Notamacropus eugenii: one gene and its partners. The protein of the gene in region 1 interacts with the protein of each later gene in a pairwise test. Links are inferred from orthologs where the notes say so. Each region holds a gene or a part of one and is shown in the gene's direction. Other genes may lie near its edges.

The links. The genes of interacting proteins can lie anywhere in the genome.
Region 2: the proteins of AP2B1 (region 1) and GTF2I interact in binary tests that used the Homo sapiens proteins (3 or more experiments, as listed by UniProt). The link is inferred for Notamacropus eugenii from reciprocal best matches to the Homo sapiens genes AP2B1 and GTF2I.
Region 3: the proteins of AP2B1 (region 1) and ITSN1 interact in binary tests that used the Homo sapiens proteins (3 or more experiments, as listed by UniProt). The link is inferred for Notamacropus eugenii from reciprocal best matches to the Homo sapiens genes AP2B1 and ITSN1.

Annotation. Positions count from the first base shown.
Region 1 is NC_092873.1:307,739,025-307,746,748, reverse strand, and holds the start of AP2B1 (AP-2 complex subunit beta), read left to right. Parts: upstream 1-4,526; 5' UTR 4,527-4,608; intron 4,609-7,724. UniProt on the Homo sapiens protein: Component of the adaptor protein complex 2 (AP-2). Adaptor protein complexes function in protein transport via transport vesicles in different membrane traffic pathways.
Region 2 is NC_092873.1:48,620,245-48,627,818, reverse strand, and holds the start of GTF2I (general transcription factor II-I), read left to right. Parts: upstream 1-4,411; 5' UTR 4,412-4,476; intron 4,477-5,376; 5' UTR 5,377-5,397; coding exon 5,398-5,491; intron 5,492-7,574. UniProt on the Homo sapiens protein: Interacts with the basal transcription machinery by coordinating the formation of a multiprotein complex at the C-FOS promoter, and linking specific signal responsive activator complexes.
Region 3 is NC_092876.1:425,621,482-425,628,692, reverse strand, and holds the start of ITSN1 (intersectin-1), read left to right. Parts: upstream 1-4,048; 5' UTR 4,049-4,179; intron 4,180-4,200; exon of another isoform or gene 4,201-4,878; intron 4,879-7,211. UniProt on the Homo sapiens protein: Adapter protein that provides a link between the endocytic membrane traffic and the actin assembly machinery. Acts as a guanine nucleotide exchange factor (GEF) for CDC42, and thereby stimulates actin nucleation mediated by WASL and the ARP2/3 complex.

The DNA of each region.
Region 1 (7,724 bases):
CATTCACCAATGACTTTGCCAATATCCTTTACTTTTTCAGAGTGAACATCACAATAATATTGTTGAGATTCCCAGCTGTCTCTGCATCATGTCTGCACAAGCCAACAGCAGACACAGGAAAAAGTAAAAAACAATTTAAGGAGACAGATAGCTTAGCAGATAAACCGAAAGTTATCAGAGTACACAGAAGCTGAAAACAAAGAAGAAAGCAAGTGAATCAGTTAGAAGATGCTCTTGTTTAGAAAAATGAAGGGAGAAAGGCACAAGGAACTAGAGGGAATCATAGGTTAGAGTTTTACCATTTAAATAAGGGAAAAATGGAAGTTTTTGAGAATTCTATAATTCTCAAATTCTGTAAGCTTTCCTTTATTATTTATTTATTATTTCCTTTGAAATTATCTCATTTGAAAACTGACTAAGTTCTCTCCTTTTCATCAAGGACAAGAAAATTTCCTCATACAAGAATGGAACCATGGATCCCTGTCCCTTTGATAGGCAGTGAAATATCTAGTATGGGAAAGAATAATAAGAATTAGGTACTTACTAGGCCTTGTACTTGACTGAGGTTCCAGAGGAAGCAAGTGGTCCACAGAAAGTGGCTAGAGTGTATGGCCAGTGCTGTGATCCAACAGATCGGGTGGTCCTCCTGATTACCCCATAGGGATTAGTTAAAAGCAACCCTCCAGTTCCTCTCTTTTATAGGTGAGGACCTGTTCCCTAATCACCTGTCCAATGAAAAGTGGCAAATTTAACTTAGGTTTCCTAGACATATTTCCAGAAAGTGAACCCATTTTCCTTCCTTAAATATAAATCAAACTCTGGAAAGAACAGAGAGCCTCTTCCTTCTTAGGCCTCCTTCTACTACAGGGGCCACGTGAATGATTTGAATGTCTATGAGAAGGAAAAAAAGGGCAGAGAGAAATTGTATTTCTCTTCCTCTGACTCTAGATTCCTTTCTAACCCCTTTTCTACTTTACTTGAATAAGTCGACTTGAACTTCAACAAATTAAAAAGGTCACCTAAGCTAAGTGCATTTTGCCGAAGTGAATATCATAATACAAACATGATATTTTATATAAGTCCATAAGTTTCTGCTAAAGACTCTACAACTCTGATTTTGAATGAGCTAGAGATGTAGCCTTAGAGCTCTGAAATCGATGAAAATTAAATCTAAGGAAAGAGTTCTTACCCTGAGATTTCTGAAAAAAAATTAATATTTTGACATCTGTATTCTAATATGGGGGACCCCAAAATCTTAGTAGAGTCTTTAACTTTGATAATTTTGAAACACCTGGCATATTTCTTTCATAATCTTATACATTCTATTTTATTCAGCTTAGCATTATTCTGACAAGGAGTCCATAGGTTTCACCCATCTGTAAAAGGCATCCGTAACATAGTAAAATTTAAGGTTAACACCTAACCTAGGGAATCAGAATGAAATTCTCAGATCATGGAAATATCTTTCTCACATATTCTAGTTTTTACTTTTTCTTCTCTTTGCAACTTTTCCTGCTATAGACACAAACCACAAAACAGGAGGAAATTATTGTTACCTGCTGTTTCTTTTTGGAAGTTTCATGTCGTGGCTTTGCCTGAGTCTCGGTAGCTGTCACCTGGCATAAATAACCTTGCTATCCTCTGACACCAGACAAGCAGAAGATGACACTGTTTTGTCTGCCAGTCTTCATAACATGTACAGGCTGAGGCAGGCTGATAAGGACTCAAGAGAACCATGTGGGAAAAAGATTAGTAAGGCCAAAGACAGAATGAGGCAAAAATGAGAAAATACCGGGGTTTTCAATGGGGCAGCCTAGACTAAACTTACTACCTATGTTGGACTGAGAGCTCCGACTATGTAAAAATACTTTCCACCTTTTTAAATTTAATGTGCAGAGATTTATATGCATCTTGCATTCCTTTGTATTCTGCAAGGTTTCAGTTCAGTTTTTAAAATTCAGTATTGTATTCCTAAAAACTTTTTGCTATACAAGCAGGTCTACTTGCTTTGTTATACATTTCACAAATGTTTGGTGGAATTTCCAGGTTGGCATAGAAGATGGATTATATGATGGCACATAGCACCAAAGCAAAACAATTGAATGTCCAATTACCAATATCTTCTTGCCTTAGGTCTCACCCCATTCCTGGCTTTGGATTCATTTTAGTCTTTTTGTAGCATCTTCCTTGCACTCAGACTACCTTGTTCATTTTTCAAAACTGGGCAAGTCTATATCTGAAGAAAACGGCAAAAGTATGTATAGGGGATACTTTCCATAGACTGGTGTATGTCTCTAGTCAACTCTTTGAAGCCTTTTACGTGAAATGCTTTCAGTACTCATCATTTGACAATGATTCTCTGAATGATATGGAAATGACAGACTTTTGTTTCCCATTGGTTTAGTCTACTGCTTTAACATAGGAAGAAATGATTTCGAAAGAGTGAAAATATAGTTGTTTTATAATAAATAGAAGGTTAGGGTTATATTTATAATTTCAGTTTATGTGACTGTTTTATTCAAAATCAGAAATCCACCTGAATGCTATACCCTTTCCTATTCTCAGACAATGGCAACTGTATCCTGAGAAATTTTTTCTCTAGGATCTGAGCTTCAGTGGGTTAATCTTTAGATTTATAGATTCAGACAACCAGCCCTTGTCCATTTGCTTATTCTCCCTAGAGAAGTGAAATGAAAGTCTAAGGTAGAAACAGGGATAGAGTGCAGGTCTTTAACTTTCTATCTAGTGCTCTTTCCTCTACACCACATTGTTAATATGGATTAATAAATCTCTGGGGGCAAAATTCGTCTTAACAAAGTGGGGTATAGAGAAAGTGGAGTTCTGTGCTACAGGAATAGACTTTTGAAGTGATAGAGGTAGTAAGGGAATTCTTGTCCCTGAACACATTTCCTCAGTTCTGTCTGTTATATTAACTTCTAGTAACAAATTAGACTCTAAGCTTCTTGAAAACAGGATTGTCTTTTGTCTTTGCTTGTATCCCCTAATCAAAGTGTAAGTCAGATGGCTGCAGAGCCTCAATTAGGTTTTGCAATTGGGGCAATTGAGCAGTTATGCTTGGAGAAGGAGGTGCTCTTAGTTAGGTTAGGTTTAACATTCTTCTTTGGGGAGAAAGATAGACACCACCAGGCTGCTCCCAGGGAAACTGTCCATTCATCTCTAGTCATCAGACCATTTGATAACTACTATTAGTTAATTAATAACTAATAAAAAACTGATAACTAATAAAAGTTAGTTAATAATTAACTAGCTATTCTTGATAAAGAGGTGCTATTGTAATTATTTCTACATCTTGGCATCTAAGAAGCATGATTACTGGGTGGAGATGGGGGTGAGGGTGAGGTAGGGGTGAGGGTGGGGGTAGAAGAGAGAAGTGGTAATCCTTACAGAAAATAGATGCTCTTGGGGAGGGGGCTGAAAGGGGGCTTTGAAGGCAACCTCTCCAAAGACTTCCATTATCCTAAAGCATCATTATAGACCTGGGAAAGTCTTTAAAGACCACCTTGTCCATCTTCTTTATTTCAGAGAGAAGACAGAGCCTCGTGTTTGTTATCTCCAATTTGGCTTGTAGATATTTTTGTACATAGGTGAAAGAATGAGTATTTATTAAGCACCTACTACATCCCAGACACGATGCTAAGAATTTCTTACATCTCATGTGATCCTCACAACAATCCTGTGAGGTGGGTACTTGTATTAGCCCTATTTTACAGCTGAAGAAACTGAAGCAAACAGGGTTAAGTGACTTGTCCAGGGTCACACAGCGAGTATCTGCGGTCAAATTTGAACTCAGGTCCACCTTCATCGAGATGGAGAATTGGATAGAGTGCAGGACCTGAAGTCAAGAAGACCTGAGTTCAGATGTGACCTCAGACACTCTCTGTGTGACCCTGGCCAAGTCACTGAACCTTGTTTGTCTCAGTTCCTCATCTGGGGAAGGGGATGGCGAACCCCTCCAGGATTTTTACCAAGAAAGCCCCAGGGGGTCCCAGAGAATCAGACACCACTGGAAAACAGTGACTTCGGGATTCCAGGTCCAGTGGACCTACTAGCTGCCAACACAGTCGTCTGCACGCGGTTTCCCTGGAGAGCTGGGGCTGTCTTAGGGCAGTTGGGGGCACACAGTAGATGCTTAATCAATGCCCATTGACTTGACTTGGCAGGGAAAGGACTAGAATCAGCCAGATTGTTGAAATCCCGCCTCCATGGTCGTTGATCCTGGTCACATTTAGAATATAAATAAAATAATAAATAAAACAAATCCATGAATAAATGAAATGAAATGAAATTGTGCAGGGGGCGTGGCCTGGAGACCTCGGGGGGGGGGGCTTTTAGGCCCGCCTCCATCCCCGCCTCCTTGGGGGCCGGACTCCCCAGCCAGAAGCTCGGGGATGGGCTACGGAAGCGGGATCAAGCCAAGCAGACTGAAGACAGCAGAGTGGGTGGAGGAACTCCAGCGTGGTAGGCGGGACCGACGCCTCACGTGACAGGTCTGCTAGGTCCCGATTGGCTGTCCCGCCGGAAACGGCTCGCCGGTGGCCGCGTCTGCGCAGTGGCGAGGAGCTCCGGGCGTTCTGCGAGGAGCCGGGGGTGAGTTGCGGCGCGTTGGGCCGCCCTAGTGCGCGCGGCGTCGCTGCCTGGTTCCGCTGCCTGGATCCCTTCTCCTCTTCATCCCTCCCCTCCTCGGGGCTCACGTGGCCGGGTGTCGCGGGCCCGCCCGCAGAGGCTTGGTCAGATTCAGAGGCTGCTCACGCGGCGCTTCTGCCTCCGCGGTTCCAGGCCGGGCTCCGGGGCTCGTGGGGGCCCCCTTTCTCCCCGTACTCCCCCAAGCCTTGAGAACCCTGAGGGCAAGGATCGCCCGAGTTCTCCGACCCGGGCACCTTGGCTCCGCGTCTGGCGGCCGGCCCGCGCACGAGGATTTCTGAGCTCGGTGATCGGGGTGGGGACAAGCGACCTACTGAGCGCGGCGTTTTCTTTGTAATCCCTCTTTTATCTCTTACGTTTAAAAACTCGGGTAAAGATCCGCGGCGCGCAGAGGCCGAAGAACCAGTGCCCTCCCCCTCTTCCGATCCCCGGTCTGTGGGCAGAGCGGGAAACTTCACGGCTGGAGGCCCTCAGCCACCCATAGGCACGTAATTGTCACTGTGGATAGACTGGGGAACGTCGGGTCCGGAAGACCTGAGTTTGCATCCTGCCTCGGACACTCACCGGCAGAATGACCCGGGAGGAGTCATTTAACTTCTCTCAGCCTCAGTTTCCTCCCCTGTAAAATGGCACGCAGTTCACCAGGGTGAGGTGAGGATGAAATGATACAGCATGTAGAAAGCGTGTCGTAAACCTTCAGTGCTGTGTAAACGCAAGCTGTCATCATGGGCGAGATTTTTTATATCATCTTTTTCTGACTTGTAAGAGAGCTTTGGGTAAGGAATTTTCTCTACCCGTGGAGATGAGCTACTCCGACTTACATGCCTCCTAACGACACTAATTTGAGTGAAGTGACTCACCCAGGGTGATGAAGCCGGTGTGTATCAAAGTGGATTTGAACCTTCCTGGTTCTGAGGCTGTCTGTACTACTCTGAGGTGCCTCAGCATTCTGTGATCTTAGGATCCCTTTTACAAAGTGAGACAGCCCCTACCTACCCCCAAGGGAGGGGTTTCACCATCCTCCCAGTCACTCAGGCTCACAACCTGGGGTGTGTGTCATCCTCAACCCCCCTCTCTCTCACCCTCACCATATCCAGTCATTCCCAACTCCTGTCATTTTTACCTTCATAAGATCTTTCTTATGCTTTCTCCTTTCTAATGACAGTGTCACCTCTCTAGAGCAGGCCTTCATCACCTCCTGCCTGGGCTATTGGAATAGCTTCCTGGTGCCTCTGCCTGCTTCAGGTCTCCCCACGCAGCTGTCAAAATGATTTTCCTTAAGTGCAGGTCTGACCAGATCACCACCCATATTCAGTAAACTCTGTCATCTCCCCCATCAAGTATAAAATCCTCTTTTTGGCTTTCAGAGCCCTTTATAACCCACCCCTCAGGCACCACCATGGACACACCACTCCCTTCCCCCACTGTCCTTTTCCATCCAGTGACACTGGCTGCCTCGCTGTTCTCTGCACAGGACTCTGCATCTCCCAGCTCTGGGCATTTTCACTAGATGTTTCCCACCCCTGAAATGCTCTTCCTCCTCCTGTCTTGCCCCTCTGACTTCCTTCAGGTCTCAGCTAAAGAAACCTTCCCTGATTACCCTTATGCCAGTGCCTTTCCTTTGTTGGTTCTTTCCTATTTATCCTCCCCATGGCTTGTCTGCACATAGTTGTTGGCTTGTGTCTCCCCCATTAGATAGGGACTGTTTGTCTTTCTTTTGTATCCCCATTACTTAGCACATGCCTGCCAGAGAGTGGGAGGTTAATGCAAGCTTGTTGATTTGACATTCTGCTATATGTCCCTCTTGTCTCCCTCTATATTTTCTTGGTTGTTTGACCCATTTCCAGGAATTCAGTTACCACCTATGCAGATGACTCCCAGATCTGATTAGGTCTGATCTCTGTCTGGGCTTGTGTAGCCTCCTGGATGTGGTCAGTACTTCCAGCTCCAACTTCTACCCCTGTGCTTTGGCATAGCCAGGCTTCCATTTCTGGAACATGTTCTCTCTTCATCTCGTTGTCTTCTCCCAGAAACCTTTCTTACTCATAGTTGCTAATGCTGTCTCCACTGTTTACTTAACCAGTGGCTATTTTATTCTGCGGTAGAACACAAGTCCCTTTAGTTTTTGTATCTTCATCCCTGTTCTTCTCTGAGATAATAATGAAGGCATACTGCTCGGTTTCTTGATAGCATGCACTTAACATTTATTGAATTGTCTTCCCTTCAAAACCCACCTCTCCCAAGTGACAAAATCTACCTCTCTCCTCCCTGTCACCCATAGGTGTTAACTTTATGGTCATCTTAGTGACTGCTAGCAGGGTTCTGTAGTATATAGAGTGTTGGGCCTGGAGTCAGGAAAACCTCAGTTCAAATCCAGCCTCTGACACTTACTAGCTGTGTGACCCTGGGCAAGTCACTCAACCTTGGTTGGTTTCCTCATCTCTGAAATGAGGATAATAATAGTACTTACCTCCCAAGGTTGTTGTGAGATTCATACGGGATAGTTTGTAAAGCATTTAGGATGGCACTTTGCACTAATAGGTCCTTAACAAAGGCTTGCTTCCTTCTTTCATCCTTGATTCCCTTTTCTCCCCTGCTCCTACATTTCTAATCAGCTGTCAAATCATGTTAATTTTATTTAATTTATTATTTTAATTCATTCCCATCTATCTCTGACCATGTCCCCCCTTTACTCAGAAACCCTTTGGTGGAACCCTGTGGTCTCTAGGATGAAATAAGTGCTCATCAGTGAGGCGCTTGAGAGTCCGCAATCTGATTTCACTTTATCTTTCTCCTCTTAGCTTATTTTAGTTACTTAGTTTACTTCCTTTCCTACATTCTGTGATCCAGCCAAACTGGGCTGTGATCTTTCCTCTAGGTCCCCCTTTCCTGGTATCCTGGTATGTGCTCCTTCCTTCCCCTTCTGGCATCCTTGTACTCAAGGCTCAATTCACCTGCCACCTCCTCTGTGATGTGCCCCATCCCAGTTACTGTTTTCTTCCTCCTCATTACTTTCTTGTCTCTTTCCCAGCAAAGTGTAAGTTCTTGAAGGAAGACTTTTT
Region 2 (7,574 bases), about 260 Mb from region 1:
AACACAACTGTCAGTTGGACTTTACTAAGTCACTTCCCTGCTCAGAAGCCTCCAGGGGCTCCCTATTGTCCCTGGAGATACATATACCTTTGTTTGACATTTAAAACTCTTCACCATATGTCTCTAGGTTTATTTAATATCATTTCTTGCTTACTTTTCTAGCCAGATTGGCTAATATGTTGTTCCCCAGACATGACATGACAGGTCTCCCCACTGGGCTTGAACAGGGAAGGCTCCCCCTTTTCATTCCCACTTCTTAGAATTCCTGGCTTCTTTCAAAGTTTGGGTCGAGTGTCACCTTCTCTAGAAAGCCTTTTCTAATTTAAGATCAATATAAACACTTCTTAAGGGCTTACTATGTGCCACAATCTGTTTATATTTTATAGCCTTCTTGTCCCTCCTGGCCCAGCAGAATGGAAAGTCTTTGTGGGCAGGTACTTTCCTAGCACATGGTTCCTTGCACAGAGTAGGTGCTTAACAAACGATAATTGAACTGAATTAAAAGGAATAAATATGGTAAGCCCTCCTCCTGGTAGTAGTATAAGTCTGGGGGACTAGGAAAGAGGCCTCTAACCGAGAGAGTTATGAGAGCTTTGGTGTCCTCCGGGGAAAACCTGGTTTCAATTAAAGAGGCTGAAAGAGCACTCAAGGCAAAAACTGAGGATAAAGGGAAGTTTGTCAGAATGATGTCTATGGTGGAGAATCCAAAGGGCACCATGGAATGAACTGAGAGAAGTGGGCAGGGCTAAAGTAGGCCTGGGGAATAGGGTTGAACTGAAAAGAGGTGAGAGACAGGACACTGTAGGGCGGGCCTGCTGCTCACATTCTTAGACAGCAGAACTTCTGTCCTTCAAGACCTAGCTTAAATGCTGTCTCTGGAAGGAGGCCTTCCCTATCACTCAAACAGAAGTAATCTTTCCTTCCTCAAAACTCCCCTATTTACTTGTTTCTAATTCTTAGGGCATTTATTCTGGTGAACCTTGTATCCTTAATTATGTCTTTTGTCTTTATTATATTTCAAGCTTCTGGAGGATATGGAACATGTCTTAAGCGCCTTGTATCCCCCACAACACTTAGTAAAGGGTCTTGTGCATTGAATGAATGTTTTAGGGATTTCATTGGTACTGGATCTCTTTTATCTTTTCTGGGCCAGATCCTTCTCTATTTGACTTCTCCTCAATATTTCCTAAGAAACTTCCCCCCCCCCCCCCCTTTCAACTTCATCGCAGGTTACAGGTCTCTCTCTGAGTTCCCCTAACCACGGAGGAAGCAAGTACCTTTCACCAGGTAGATCTAAACCAATCTCTTTGAAGCTTCTCCAACTTGTTCTATCGGAGTTGGAGCTTGGTGTACATTTTCTATTTGTGCACACCTACATGTGTTTGGTATTTACTTTTCTGTTTATGTGTTGCTTGTCCAGTGTCCAGGGTGAGAACTCTGAGGGCAAGGGGTATTCCCTTTCTTTTGGTCTCTGCATCCCGAGCGTGCAGGGCAATGACTGGCATCTAGGAGGGGCTCAGTGAGTGCTTGCAGAACCAATCTAGTCAATTACCAGCTCTTCACACGAGAACCTAGTCAATTACCAGCTCTTCACACGCCACAACCAGCGTGCCTTATCAGAACAAAAGGCATTTTCAGACGCGAGTGTATGTGAAACTACTTATATGTGCATATGTATATTGCAGATCTGGAATAAAGGAACTCAGAGCTGGAACAATTCGGAAAGCTTGAGAGGAAGCCCAGTCCATGCAGGAGAGTAAACGTCAAGGGTTGAACATGGAGAACTAGGCTTTTCCTTTCCGTAACTTCACAGTGCAGGCTCGTTTTCCCGGTTCTCCAACCGCACTCTTCATAATGTTGTGCCACATCTGCTACCTGTGCATGATCCACCCAATGGGACACGGCAGTGCGGGATTTAAATCTTATCTTCCTGCAAATCCATTTTCAAATTCTAATTCTCGGGAGATTTTGTCTCAGCCGCCTCCGGTAATCTGAAAGGTTCCTGCGGGGATCTGGGGAGGCGGCCCCCCCAGAGCGGTGCAGCAAAGGACCCCCGGCCGTCACAGCGGCAGCGTTAGCAGGCCCACCCTCGCCCCGCAGCGCTGCCTTCACTGAGACAGCAGGCGGTGTCTTTATCTCGTTTGAGAGCAAGCCTGGAAATCACCTCCGGAAAAAAAACCAACCAAGCCAACCCCGGGGCAGGTCCATGGGGCACCAGCCCTCGTCCCGGACGGGCCAGCCGGGCTGTGTCCAGTGCCCGATGGAGGCCGGGCACCGCGCTAGGCACGGGGACATCAAGGTAAAAGCCAGAGCTGCTACTTTCGCCTCTTACTGAGGTGTTTATAAGTAAACACGACGCTGGCCGAGGGAGCAAGCTCGTCCACACTCCCTTTCAGAAATCCACAACTTAGAGCAATCGCTGATTTACTTTGGCGAGGCGGGCACGGTAACCACTCTGAGGACGGCCCAGGTCCAGCGCCCACGACCCGGCCACTCGAGCTCGCCTTCAGAGCTGCCCTTGGGCCATTTCACAGACGGACAAACCGAGGCCAAGCGGACGCCTGGGTTGGGTAACGAAAAGGGAGCGCTGCGGGGCCCGGATCCCGCGTCCCGCTTGGGGGCCGCGCACGCTCCTCGAGGCTCGAGGCTCAGGGCCCGGGGCCCGGGGCAGGCTGGAGCCCGGCGGGCCTGGCCGGGCGCTCGGCCGCCGGGCTGCCGCTCGCCACGTTCTTGGGCCGGGGCCGCACAAAGGGAGGCCCGCGAGCCCGGGGCGCAGGCCTCGGCCCGGCGCGCAAGCTCGCATTACTTGATTTCCTTCTTTTCTAAACTTGGTGGTGCCCGGGCGGGCGGGGGCGCGCCGGCCCCGGAGGCCCCGTCGTGCCGCAGCGGCGGGAGCCGCTCTTTGTGTCGGGGAGCGGCCGTGGGGGCCTCGGGAGGAGCGGGGCGGCCACGCGAGGGTCGAGCAGGGCCGAGCACAGCCGAGCCGGGGTTCCCCTCCCCCTCGCCCCCCCCCCCCTTCTGTGCAGCCGAGCAGGCCCCAGGTGCAGCTGCAGCAGCAGCAGCCGCAGCCATGTTCGTCCCCGGCTCCTCCTGCTCTGCTCCTCCATTGACAGCCCTCGTCCGGGCGGGCCAGCGCCGCTCGCTCTCGCCCCGTCCCCGAGTTCGGGGCTCGCCCTCGCGGTGCACCCTGGGAGTCGTAGTCCGGCCCCGCCGCCCTCGGCCTGGTGGGCAAGGCCCGGAAGACTACGACTCCCGCGGTGCGGTGCGGCGGGTGCGCATGCGCAGCGGGCTCTCTAGGAACAAAAAAAAAAAAAAAAAAAAAAGAGCGAGCTGAGGAGGAGGAGGAGGAGGAGGAGGAGGAGAGCGGACAACAGGGGCCACAGACCGCCGCGGGCCCCCACCTCGCGCGCCCCCTCTCCGGCCGCCTCCCGCCCGCCGCGCTCTGCTCCTCCGCCTTTCGGGCGCTCAGGCCAGCTGTGCGCGGAGCGTGGGCCCTGCCGGGGGCGGCCATGCGGCGGTGACAGGAGCGCGGCGGCGACGGCGCCAGCGACGGCCCCAGCCCCAGCCCCAGGCGCAGGCAGGACCGGCCAGCCCGTGAGCGAGACCGGACGCCCCCGCCCCCGGCTCGGCCTGATCGGCGCCCCGAGCCCTCCCCCGCCTCCTCTCTCCGCGCCTCGGGGCTGCCCGGCGCCGCCGCCGTCCCCGCCGTCGCTGCTGCTGCTACCGCGGCTGCCGCTGCATCGGGTGAGTCCGAGGCCCCTTCGGCCCTGCCGGGCCCAGCCTGGCCTAGCTCGGGGCCGCGGTCGTCACCTCCTCCGCTGCCGCGGAACAGACACGGGGGCAGTTTAACGGAGGGGTGGTTATTGTGTGTGGGGGTGACCGTCGACTCCCCCCGCCTCGGGTCCCGGGCTCCGGGCCCCGGGGTGGGGGCGGGGTGGGGGGGTTGCGAGGGGCGACGGTTGGACGCGCGAGCCTCGGGGACGCGCGCGTGGGGAAGTGCGCGCGGAGCATGGGGGTTGGGGGCGGAGAAGGCCCTGCGCGCGCGCGCCGGAGTTAGCGGAGAGAGGGAGGTGTGCGTGCGTGTGTTGGGGGGGTAGGGGTAGGGGTGGGGGAGGGGGGGGGGGTGTCCTTGCTTCTCACCCCTCCCTGATTGGCTGGGGCGACAGGGGTCGCGCGCTCTGGGCTCGGGCCGGGGCCGAGCTGGGGTCGCGCGCCGGCTGGGCCCTGTCCTGGGACTCGAGCGCAGGCTCGGCGGCGGCGCGCTCGGATTGGCCGGCGGGGCCGGGGGGCGGGGCTTCCGCCGCCGCCGCCGCCGGGCTAGGTGAAGGTGTCAGCCCCGCCCCGCTGTGGCCCCGCCTCCGCCCTATCGCTCCCCCTCCCCCTGCCAGGTGGGGCCTGCTGAGGCCATTGTCCTCGGCGGGTCCTGCGAGGGCGGAGGCGGAGCCGGGCGTCCGAGAGTCCCTGAGGGGCCACGAGGTGCTTTCTTCCCCTCAGTCTAGTTTGGGATCCCCCCCAGCCTCCGAGTCTGGGCTCCTGGAGGCCGTGAATGATGCGGATTCGAACCCCTGTCTGGAGTTGGTCCGGCCCCCCCCCTCCCCGCCTGCCCTCCCCTCCTGGCTGGGGCGGCTCCCCTTGGCTCGGGGCCTGGTTGGACGAGGCCTGGGACCGAGGAACCCGTGTAATTGTGGGGGGGGGTCGCGGTGGCCCCTCGGGAGACTCAGGCCTGGTCGGAGCCCTGCGGGGGGGGGGGGGGGAACGGAAGGGGGAAGGGGAGCGGGAGCGAAGACGAGGGTCGGAGAGGTCAGCCCGGGGGCGTGAAGCCCCGCCCCCTTTGCACATTTCCGGAGCTTCCCCCCTCCCTCATCCCGGGTTGGGCCCAGTCTACGCTGGTCCGGGAGTTGGGGGGGCTCAGTCTCCTTGGGGGTCGAGGCCTGGGATCGAAGGTTGGAGGGGGAGGGGGGGACCCGAGGCTTTATCCAAAGGGGAAGGATCTGCCGAGGTCACCGTCAGGATGGGGGGGTAATTAGAGGGCCGCGAATGGTTCGAGTTTGGTTGGGTCGAAAAAGTCCTTTGATGTTCTTGTGAGAGTTGAATGAATGGGGGACGAGGGGGATTGGGGCGGGGGGGGGCGATGGCGGGCGCAGATAAGGTTTCCTTTGCCCCTGGGGGCGTCCTGGGGGCGGATCCCTAGCCCCGGGCTGTGGATCCTCGGAAGGGAGGTAAACCGAACGCTGCGCTTTCCTTTCCTGAGTCTCGGTGATTGTGGAAGGCAGCGTCCGCGTTAACTGGCTTAGATAGGCCTTCGGATTAAGGACTTCCGGGCAATTATTAATTTCCTGCTCATATCTGATTACTGAAATCGGGCCTTTTTTATAGAAATCGTGTTCTTCACTCGCCATGATTAACTGTAAAAAAATAAACACAGTTTGTGGCTGTCGGCTGCTTTGGAGGAAAAAGCACAAAAGCCGGGAGGATTGGTCTTGTTTTTTTGGCAAGTACTAATTTTTTTAATATGCACCTAAATTAGAAGTAATGCTCTAGTTGAGCGCAGGTTTTCCTCTTTTCCATCTTATTCCCTTGTGTTTTCTCAGCCTTTTCGATCTTCACCCTTGCCATTTGTCTTCTCCCCCCTCCCCCCCTTTTTTCCTGCCCAGGCTTTGTCTCTACAATCTGGTCTTTTAATTCCTGTCCCGCCCTGGTTTCCTCTCTCTAGCTTTCCTTCACGCTGTCGGTCCACCTTGCTTATTCTTGCCTGCTAACCAGGCGTTGCTAAAAGCATGACAGAAGCCCAGGAGTTTGGGACTCATCCTCTGTTACAAAGAGAGCATAAAGGGGTAGACAAAACATGCCAGGAATTCCTTCAGGAGGTAGTTTCCCCAACTGGACTGGGACACAGTGGAGTGGAGGCCCTGTCGCACCCTTTCCCAGCCTTCTTGCTCTGTGCCCTGCTTGGCTGAGGTTCTCCTAGATCTTGTGCAGAGGAGGCATTTTAGAAGCCTCCTTGTTTCTCTGAACAATCACTGCTAGTACAGTAGGATGAAATGGGGAAAGCCTGGGGCTCAGCATCTCTCTTCCTGATGTGCCATGCTGTGGAGTCTTAGCCAAGTGATTTCACCTTTCCAGGGTCATCATTTACTCATCTTTAAGAGGAGGGGCAAGATTACAGTACATCCTGTTCCTCAAATTCTACTTCTCTGAGATGCCAAACAAATTTACCCAGCAATCCTTAATTATAATGAATTCCAACTTCAGGGATAGTGGATATCCATGATTATGCCGAGGCATCCTTCAAACAGCTGCCAGAAGAAGCTTCTTTTGAGCACACGTCTGATCTGCCCTGTTCTGCTCAGCAGCCTTCATTGGTTGGTCCCTTATTCCTATTAGGATAAAACACAAACTCATTTGGGTATTTAAAGCTTTGCCAGATGCCACTCTAGACTGAAATTCTTATTACCCTTGACACATTCCACTTTTCAACCAGATTGACCTACTTGAAGTTCCCTTAACTAGGCATTCCATTTCCTTGTTGCAGGCCTTTTTGGTGTTTGTTCCCCCCCCCCCCCCCCCATGCCACCTCCTATAGGGTTGGGAGGCAGAGTGGGTATCTCTCACATTAGACAGTCTTAATGAACTGCTTGTTAGGTGAATGATTATTCAACTTCTTTATTAATTACCTAGTATGTGCCCAGGTACTGTCTACTAGGCAGAATGGTAGGATTCAGGAGGATTGATTCAGATCCTAGGTAGATACTCATTAGCTCTCTGACCCTGGGCAAGGCACTTAACCCTTTCCTACCTCCGTTTCCTCACCTGAGAAATGAAGTAGGGTAGGACTAATTGGCTTCTGAGGTCACTTGCAGGTTTAAATCTATTATCCCAAGTAAACACAAAGTGGTTGTGCAGGGAAGATTGGGTAACCTGGCAAAGGCAGGCAGAGATTGTCACGAAAAGCATGGAGGCCAGGTGGGCTAGAATAGGTAATGTATCATCAGCCTGGCAAGGTTAGGTGAAACCATTGGGAAGGATTTGCAGTGCTCAACAGAAGAGTTTGTATTCTGTCCTAAAGAGTCATGAAAAGTCCTTGGCAGGGAGATGCATCAGACCTGTCCTCTCTAGGATGGGTTGGAAAGGGAAATAGAAACCACTTAGTTTACTGCAGTAGTCCAGGTGAGGAGACAACACATAAGGTGGTTTGCAAATGTTAAGGCACTGTTAGTACTGAGAGCCTAAGCTAGGGTGATTTCTGTGCCTGCAGAGGAAGAGACAGTTTGGAGAAAAGTTTTGAGGGTAGCACTGACAGGACTGGGTGATTGTCTGGATGGGCTGACGAGAGTGAAGAGAGGAGTTTGGCTTGGTGGCAGTTTTGGACTGGGAGGGTGGCTGGTGGTGTCCTTCCTGGATGGGTGCAAGGAAGTTTGGCCTCTGGGGGCCATAGAGTTGGAAATATCCCATACGCAGGATGGGAGCACAGGAGAGAGACTGGGGGGGGGGGGGGGGTCACGTGCAGAAAGTCATTGAGCCCAGGAGAGCTGATGAAAAGGCACAGAGTGCCTCGAGAATGGGAGAGAGGTGGG
Region 3 (7,211 bases), on another chromosome or scaffold:
TAGTGCATATATTTTGGGCAAACAATGCAGAAGGACAATGAATTGGGTCCAGAACTGAATTGGAGGTGCTAGTTGGACTGCCTTTGAAGAACTGTTCAGGGCTTTTAATATTTCAGAGAACAGCATCTTTTTAATACCACTAATTTTCTGTTGATGCTATACAGCAGCGTTGAGTCATGGGATACTAAAGTCTCTGAAGAATTAAAATTTGGGGTTACCCAAAGGAAATGTACAGGCACAAGGGGAGTACGAGTAAACTTTACATGCCAATGAAGGCCATTCTTAAGAAATGGCATGAAGGAGATCATCCAAAAGGTGTCTAACTGGAAAAAGAGATGGGTCCATATAATGAAGGATATTAACTGACCAGCTCCAGTGCTGTACTGGTATTCATGAAGTATCAAGAGAAAGAGAAGAAAGTCCCCAGAATGCTTGGTTCTTTTCTAAGGAGAATTTATGGACGGTCACAGACAAGAGTAGCATAGGCTGAGAGGTTACAGATGGGCTGCAATTTGTACTGTTAGAATACCTGTTTCAATGAAATCATAGATTCATCAGCGTTATCAAAGCAAAGCTAATAAACCTTTTCAATCTCCCAGAAGCATCTAACATGGATGTGGTTCAAGACTTCTGATTTTAATTCTTAGCTTACTGTAAGAGGAAATAATTTAATTCTCTTGTTTGGGTTGCAAAAATGAGTTATAAGAATGACAAAATATTTACAAAGGAATGAAAAACTTTCAGTAGGTAAAAATGGTCAAATAAATATTTTTATAATTAATGAAAACTGAAAATAATTCACATGCCACATGCTCATACTCTGACTTGTTTGTATTTAAATTATTTCTTTCCCAAGAAAATTCTTTTTCTTTGGATAAAAATGTTCACTGAACAGATGGAATTTTTGAGTCTAATAACATCTTTGAAATCCATATGTACAGTTCAAAGGGGGAAAGAAGGTGTTTGCTATCACACAATTATTGAATTACAGATTCACTACTAAACTGGTAATTCAGCATTACCAAGTAAAATCTGAGATTTATATAAACCCAGTGTAGTAGGCACTATTATTATACCAATTTTATATTTGGGGAAACAGGTTCATGGAAGTTAAGTGACTTGCCTAAGGTAATATAGTGAGTAAGCTGAGGCAGAATTTGCACTCTAGACTTTCTAATTTGCAGCCAAGTATTAGTTTAAGAATTTTTATATACTTTTTTTGCTATTCAAAGCAATAAACACCTAGTAAAAATAAATCTAGTCTATTTCTGATTATGAGTGGAACAGTTTTATCAGTTTCTCAAGTATATTTTCCTACATAGTATCTGACTCCAGAAGAAAGTGGCAAAATTATATAAATGATTGTACTTTAAACTAGAGGCAGTCCAGTTTTTTACAAAGAACACTGCTGACCAGGTTTATGCCACAGTTTCCATTTTTAGCATAATACTTTGTCCATACCTCTAGCTCTCATTTTGTAAGCTAAAGATCAGAAATACTTGTCTATAGCAGAAATTGGGTGATGAATACATATATGTAAGGAGAAATTAAGCATAACTGTAAATGAGGTAAAGGAAATCTCAGGATGAAAATCTTGTGCGCCAGACTGTTTAGGCTTATATAGTGAGTAGTCTTATTGCATAATATACGGGTCTTCAAAAACTGATTTCTGAGCTGCTAAATGACTGGAAAATATATTGTTAAAAGAACTGTAGGAAAATGGTATGCTTATTTCACTGTTGGTAGAGCTGTAAAGGCGTTCAACTATTCTTGAAAATAATTTAGAATTATGCTAGAAAAGTTACCTAATTGTGAATACCCCTTGACTCAGATTGGTACTCCAGGGGTAGTGATGGAAACTAAAGGCCCCATGCATAAAACCTTTTCTCAAAGTATTATTTTTCTAATAAAATACTGGAAACAATGTATACGTTAAACAATCAAGTAAAACCTAACAAATATGGCATAAAAAATAGGGATGATAAGGAATAGTGCACTACTAAGAGGTAAGGAAAGAAAAATACAAAAACAATTCAGACAAACACCAGCAGAGGGGCATGAAGTGGCACAAAACAAAAACACTAGAGACAAAAGAACCACATATCCAACAAAGTCAACACTGACGGGCAACAAACCTCTCTGGTCAAGGAAAATTCTAAAGTCAGTGGTTAGTGCCTCTGTACACACACTAAGTACGATGATTTGGACATAAAGGGTGATACCATAAGCAAATTAAGAGAGCAAGGAATAGTTTATCTATCAGATCTACAGAGAAGGGAAGAATTTATGACCAAACAAGATAGAAAACATTATGAAATGCAAAATGGATAATTTTGATTACATTAGATGAAAAAGTTTTTGCACAAAGTCAAAGCAATCGAGATTAGAAGGAAAGCAGAAAGCTGGGAAACAATGTTTCTGACAAAAGTCTCATTTCTAAAATATACAGAGAATTGATACATAGTAACTGTGATTGGATGAGGATTGTCACTTAAATTCTTAATGCTCCCAGCAGCAAGGCAACCAGGTGATGCAGTGGATAAGGGTGCTAGGCTTGGAGGGAGAAAGATCTGAATTCAAATCCAGCCTCATATTCGATGATAATATGCACAGTGCCTGGCATAGCGTAATCACCTAATATAAATAGTTGTTTCCTTACTCCCCCAACCAACTTTCAAGACTGAGGAAGAAGACTGACGTCTCTATCAGTTGGGAAAGTTTTCACAAAGAGAATTCTGTACACAAAGATCACAAGTGAGGACTGGAACCCCCCCACCCCCAGTATTAGACCATTATAATACACTCTACAACAAGGCTATATAGGGGTCCTGTGACTTTTGGTTAATGATGACTGCAAAAAAAAAAAAGCTCTCAAACGTCACACAACCTAAGTCAAGGAGGCAATAAAAAAGAATCACCCATTGCGGGAACATTTACAGCTCGATCCCTTTGTCTAAGAAACTGAGACTCAAAGAGATAAGGGGACCTATTTAAGATGCCATACTAACAACATACTGCCAATTGACCACAGAGGGTGAAAAAAAGTTAATTCAATTTTATTCGAATCACAAGCAAACAAAAGTTGAAGGGAAAACCCCCCCACATTATTAAGTACTTACTATATGCCAGGCACGGGGCCAAATGCTTTACAAATATCTGATTGATTCGATTCTCACAACCACCCAGGGAGGAAGGTGCTATGGCGATTCCCATTTTAGAGCTGAGAAACCGGAGGCGAAGGCGTTTGCCCCGGGTGGTCCCAAGGCCAGAAAACGTGGGAGGTAGAATTGGAATTCAGGTCCTCCCGAGGCCAGGGACAACACGATCCACCGCGCCCCCTAGCGGACAAGGTCCAAACCGAAAATACACCAGGCTTTCTTCCGCGGAAAAGGGGAAACCAAACAAGATGGGGCCTCCTAACTCCCCCGGCTCTGTTTCCTCGTCCGTAAGGGGTGTGCATGTGTGCATGCACTAAATGGTCTCCCAGATCTTTTCTAGTTCGAAATCGAGAAAAAATCTGCCGTAAACGCCAATTCGTCACTCGCGTCCGCTCTGTCGGGGCCCAAACACTGGACTAGGGCCGTGGCGGTCAACGGCTTCGGGCCGCCGTCCTCCCTCCCCAAAAGTCTCCACGCCGCGTCACGAGCCCGGTAACCTACTTCCTCCTCATGCCAGAAAGGAGGACTGTAAGGTGGCTGAAGATACATACCTGAGTAGAATTGGGAACCCACACTCCCCACGTCCTCTTCAGTCCCGGGTCATTCCGTTTTAAAGCCCGCCCCTAAACCCAACACTTTGCCCCCATTGGCCCTATACCCTCTGTCTATCAGCTACAGCTTGTAGCGTGGGAAGGAAAGCGCTACGGTAACTAAAAGAGACTACGTCTCCCAGCATGCTTCACCAGGAGCCACGGCAAGCGAGGGAAGGACTTTGCTCACGAAAGCATGTTGGGCATTGTGGTCTCATGATTCAGGCGACCATTTCATGCAAATTGAGTGAGTCGTCAAGGAGACGCCCTTCTTAATCCCCCGCCCCTCCCTTGAGCCCCAGGCCCTTCTTGCCTTTGGGCGATGGCGGTTTTTCTGTCCCTTCCAGCTAAATATATTTAATAGCTACCGTGACGGAGCATAGAGAGAGACTCAGTCTGGCACCACGTAGCATGTGACAGCATCACATAAGGTGAAAAGGCCGAGATTGTGCAATGATTACACCGAAAAGCCCAACCCATGCCAGCCCGCCCAGTTCCTAACATCAACCCTCCCTCCCTTCTGGCCGCGGAGCCCACCCCCCCAACTTCCAAATCCGAGCTCCTATTGGTCCATTTGGATGTCATTATTTCCCTCCTCCTTTCCCGGGGTAGGCGGGGCGTGCAAAAGTCCGCCCCTCTCACTCCCCGCCTCTCCCTGCCCGGCCCACCGTCCGAGTCCTCCTTCCCGGGAGGTAGGAGGGGCCATAGTCTCGGGATTGAGAGGTTGCTTCCCTTCCCCCCACATCTGTGGGCGGGGAGCAAGGTAGAGAGAGTGCAAGCGGGACTGGGGGGTAGAGTGGGGGTTTAGAGAAAGAGACCGAGGCGGAGGAGGGGAGAGCGCGCGAGACTGAAGGGAAGGGTGAAAGATAGATGATGGATTGATAGATAGATAGATGATAGATAGATAGATAGATAGATAGATAGATAGATAGATAGATAGATAGATAGATAGATAGATAGATAGAGTTGGGTGCTCCAGAGTACGGCGGCTCGGAAGGGAGAATCCCGAGAGAGCTCCCGGACTGGAGGGGATGGTGTGCGGTGCGGCGGCGGCGTCTTCATCCCTCCCCGGGGCGTGTGCCCGGCACTGATTTCTCCCTGGGACCGCGCAGATCCCGCCCGGAGATGAGGTGGGGGAAAGGCGAGCTGGCGGTGGGCTGAGGCCGTGGGGGGAGGGGGCAGGAGCAGAGAAAGGACGGGATCGCGGAGCTGTGGAGGCGGCGGGTGTGTGCGTGCGTGTGTGTGCGTGTGTGTCTGGGGGGGGGGGGGGCCTGTGTGTGTGTGTGTGTGTGTGTGTGTGTGTGTGTGCGCGCGTGTGTGTGTGGGGAGAGAGATCTCCCTGGGAGGTGACGGGGCCGGGTCGGGGAGCCACGGCCGCCCGGGTGGAGACTTGGGCAGCGACCCCCCTGGCCGCCTTTGGCCCCCAGCGCCTCTGCCCATCCCCGGAGCCCGGGCTCCCCCGCGCCCTGCCCTTCTCTCTCTCTCGTCGTCCTTCGTCGCCGCCGAGGCGGGCAGGGCCGGAGTGAGGGGTGGGCTCCGCGCGTTCGGGGCCCCAGAGGAGCCCCTGGAAGGAAGAGACCTTGGCGGTGATTTGCAGTTAGGAGTCCCTGGCGGGCGAGGGTGATTTGTTGGGTGATTTTGGTGTCTTAAGGATCGGGCTTCAGGTTGATCGGGCCTCAACACCTGGCTGGGAAAAGAGCAACCCTCTTCTCTTATCTTCCCTCTTCTCCACCCCGCCCCCTGCGTGTTGCGGGGCTGGGGGCGCTGGATCCTTCCCGGACGAGCCTTCCCCTTCCCCCCACCCCTCCACTAGTCATGGTGGGGTTTGATAATCCAAGCCATAACCTTCCCAGTTTTCTTGGCAAAGCTACTCACTGCTCACTGGCATAGGTTTTTCAGTCTTTTCTCCCTGGCTCATCCTTATCTGGGTTTCGCAAAAACCAGTGTCACTGAAGGACACGGATCCTGTTTTAATATCCATTCTCTTGCTGTGATCTCCCTCTCTGGAACCACCAGAGAGGCGTGTATGGGTTTGGTTTCTCATCTCTGTTGCTTTTCCTTTCCCAGTTTCCCTCCTTTCCCTCTGCACACAGTTTTATGTTGTGAACAGAAAGAATAATTTTCGTGTCTCCTGGCTTGATAAGGTCATCACCAATAGTGCGTGTTTGTATTTGTGTTCTCTTGATTTTCCTGTCTGTTGCTCCTTTTTTCACTTTCCACATGCATAGTTTTATGATTCCAACTGAAGGAGCAATTGCCGTGTCTCTTACCTAGAGAAGGACATGGCCAATTAAACAAGAAAATGTAGTTGGAACCCTCAGGAAAAGGAAGCCAATGTGGGATCATCTTCCTGTGCCTTTAGTTCTGTTTGCCTTTGAATTAGGAGACAACTTTATAGATTATATTTCCTGTGAGTACTTTTGTCCTGATTCAGCTGTTCTTTTTTTAGTGAAAATAAATTTTTGCTTTTTAGGAAACAAATTAGTTACGATAGCTATTGTATTCAGTCCGTTGGAACTGTGGCAGATTTTTTTTCCCAAGGACATTTTGGTATGTTGTTAAAATAGGAAAACTTTTGGTATCTACTATTTAATGGTGGCATCAATCAGTTTCTTTTTTGCCAAAGGAAAGAAATTGTAATGTAACGTGCAGAATTTCTAAACTTGTGGTTTTGTCTAATTGTCCTTCCACCTTTTTTAAGTAGAATTTTTTTGGATGTTCTTTTTGCCTTGTACATTTCATGGTTGGGAACAGGCTTCTTGTGTCCATCATGCAATTCTTCATTGCCCTTTGAATTACTTGCAACTTTGACTTTTTAGATGTTGTGGTGTTTTGAGATTTGAAACAAACCATTTAGCCTTATGAGAGAGTGTGTTAAAAATGATGCATTTTTGTCCTGGGGAGTATTTTGGGTTTCTTGTAAAGACTATACAGTTACTCAAGTGCCATCCATTCATTTCTGGTCTCAACTCATTGTCTTATCAATCATTCCTACTCCAGATATACATTAAGATGAATGAATCCCACTGTACTCTGTTTTTGTCAGACTTCATCTGGAATATTGTGTCCAGTTCTGGGCACCATGGGTTAAGAAGGGCATTGTAAGCTGCAAAGTGAGCAAAAGAGGGCAATCAGGATGGTGAAGGAACTCTTCAGTTTATGACAAATGAGAATCAGTTGAAAGAACTGGACCAGTTTTCCCTGGAGAAAAGAAGACTCAGGAAGGCATGTGTTCAAGTATTTGAGGGGTAGTCATGTGTTCTATTTGTCCCCAGAGGAAAGAACTAGGAGCTGTGTGGGTAGAGGTTGGAAAGAGGCAGATTTCAGCTTGAGATTGTGAAAATTTTTCAACAATTAGAGCTGTCCAGAAATGGAATGAGCTGCCTTGAGAGGTAGTAATTTCCCTCTCCTTGAAGGTCTTTAATCAAAGGCTTAAAAGCTGACCACTTGTTGAGTAGTGGGG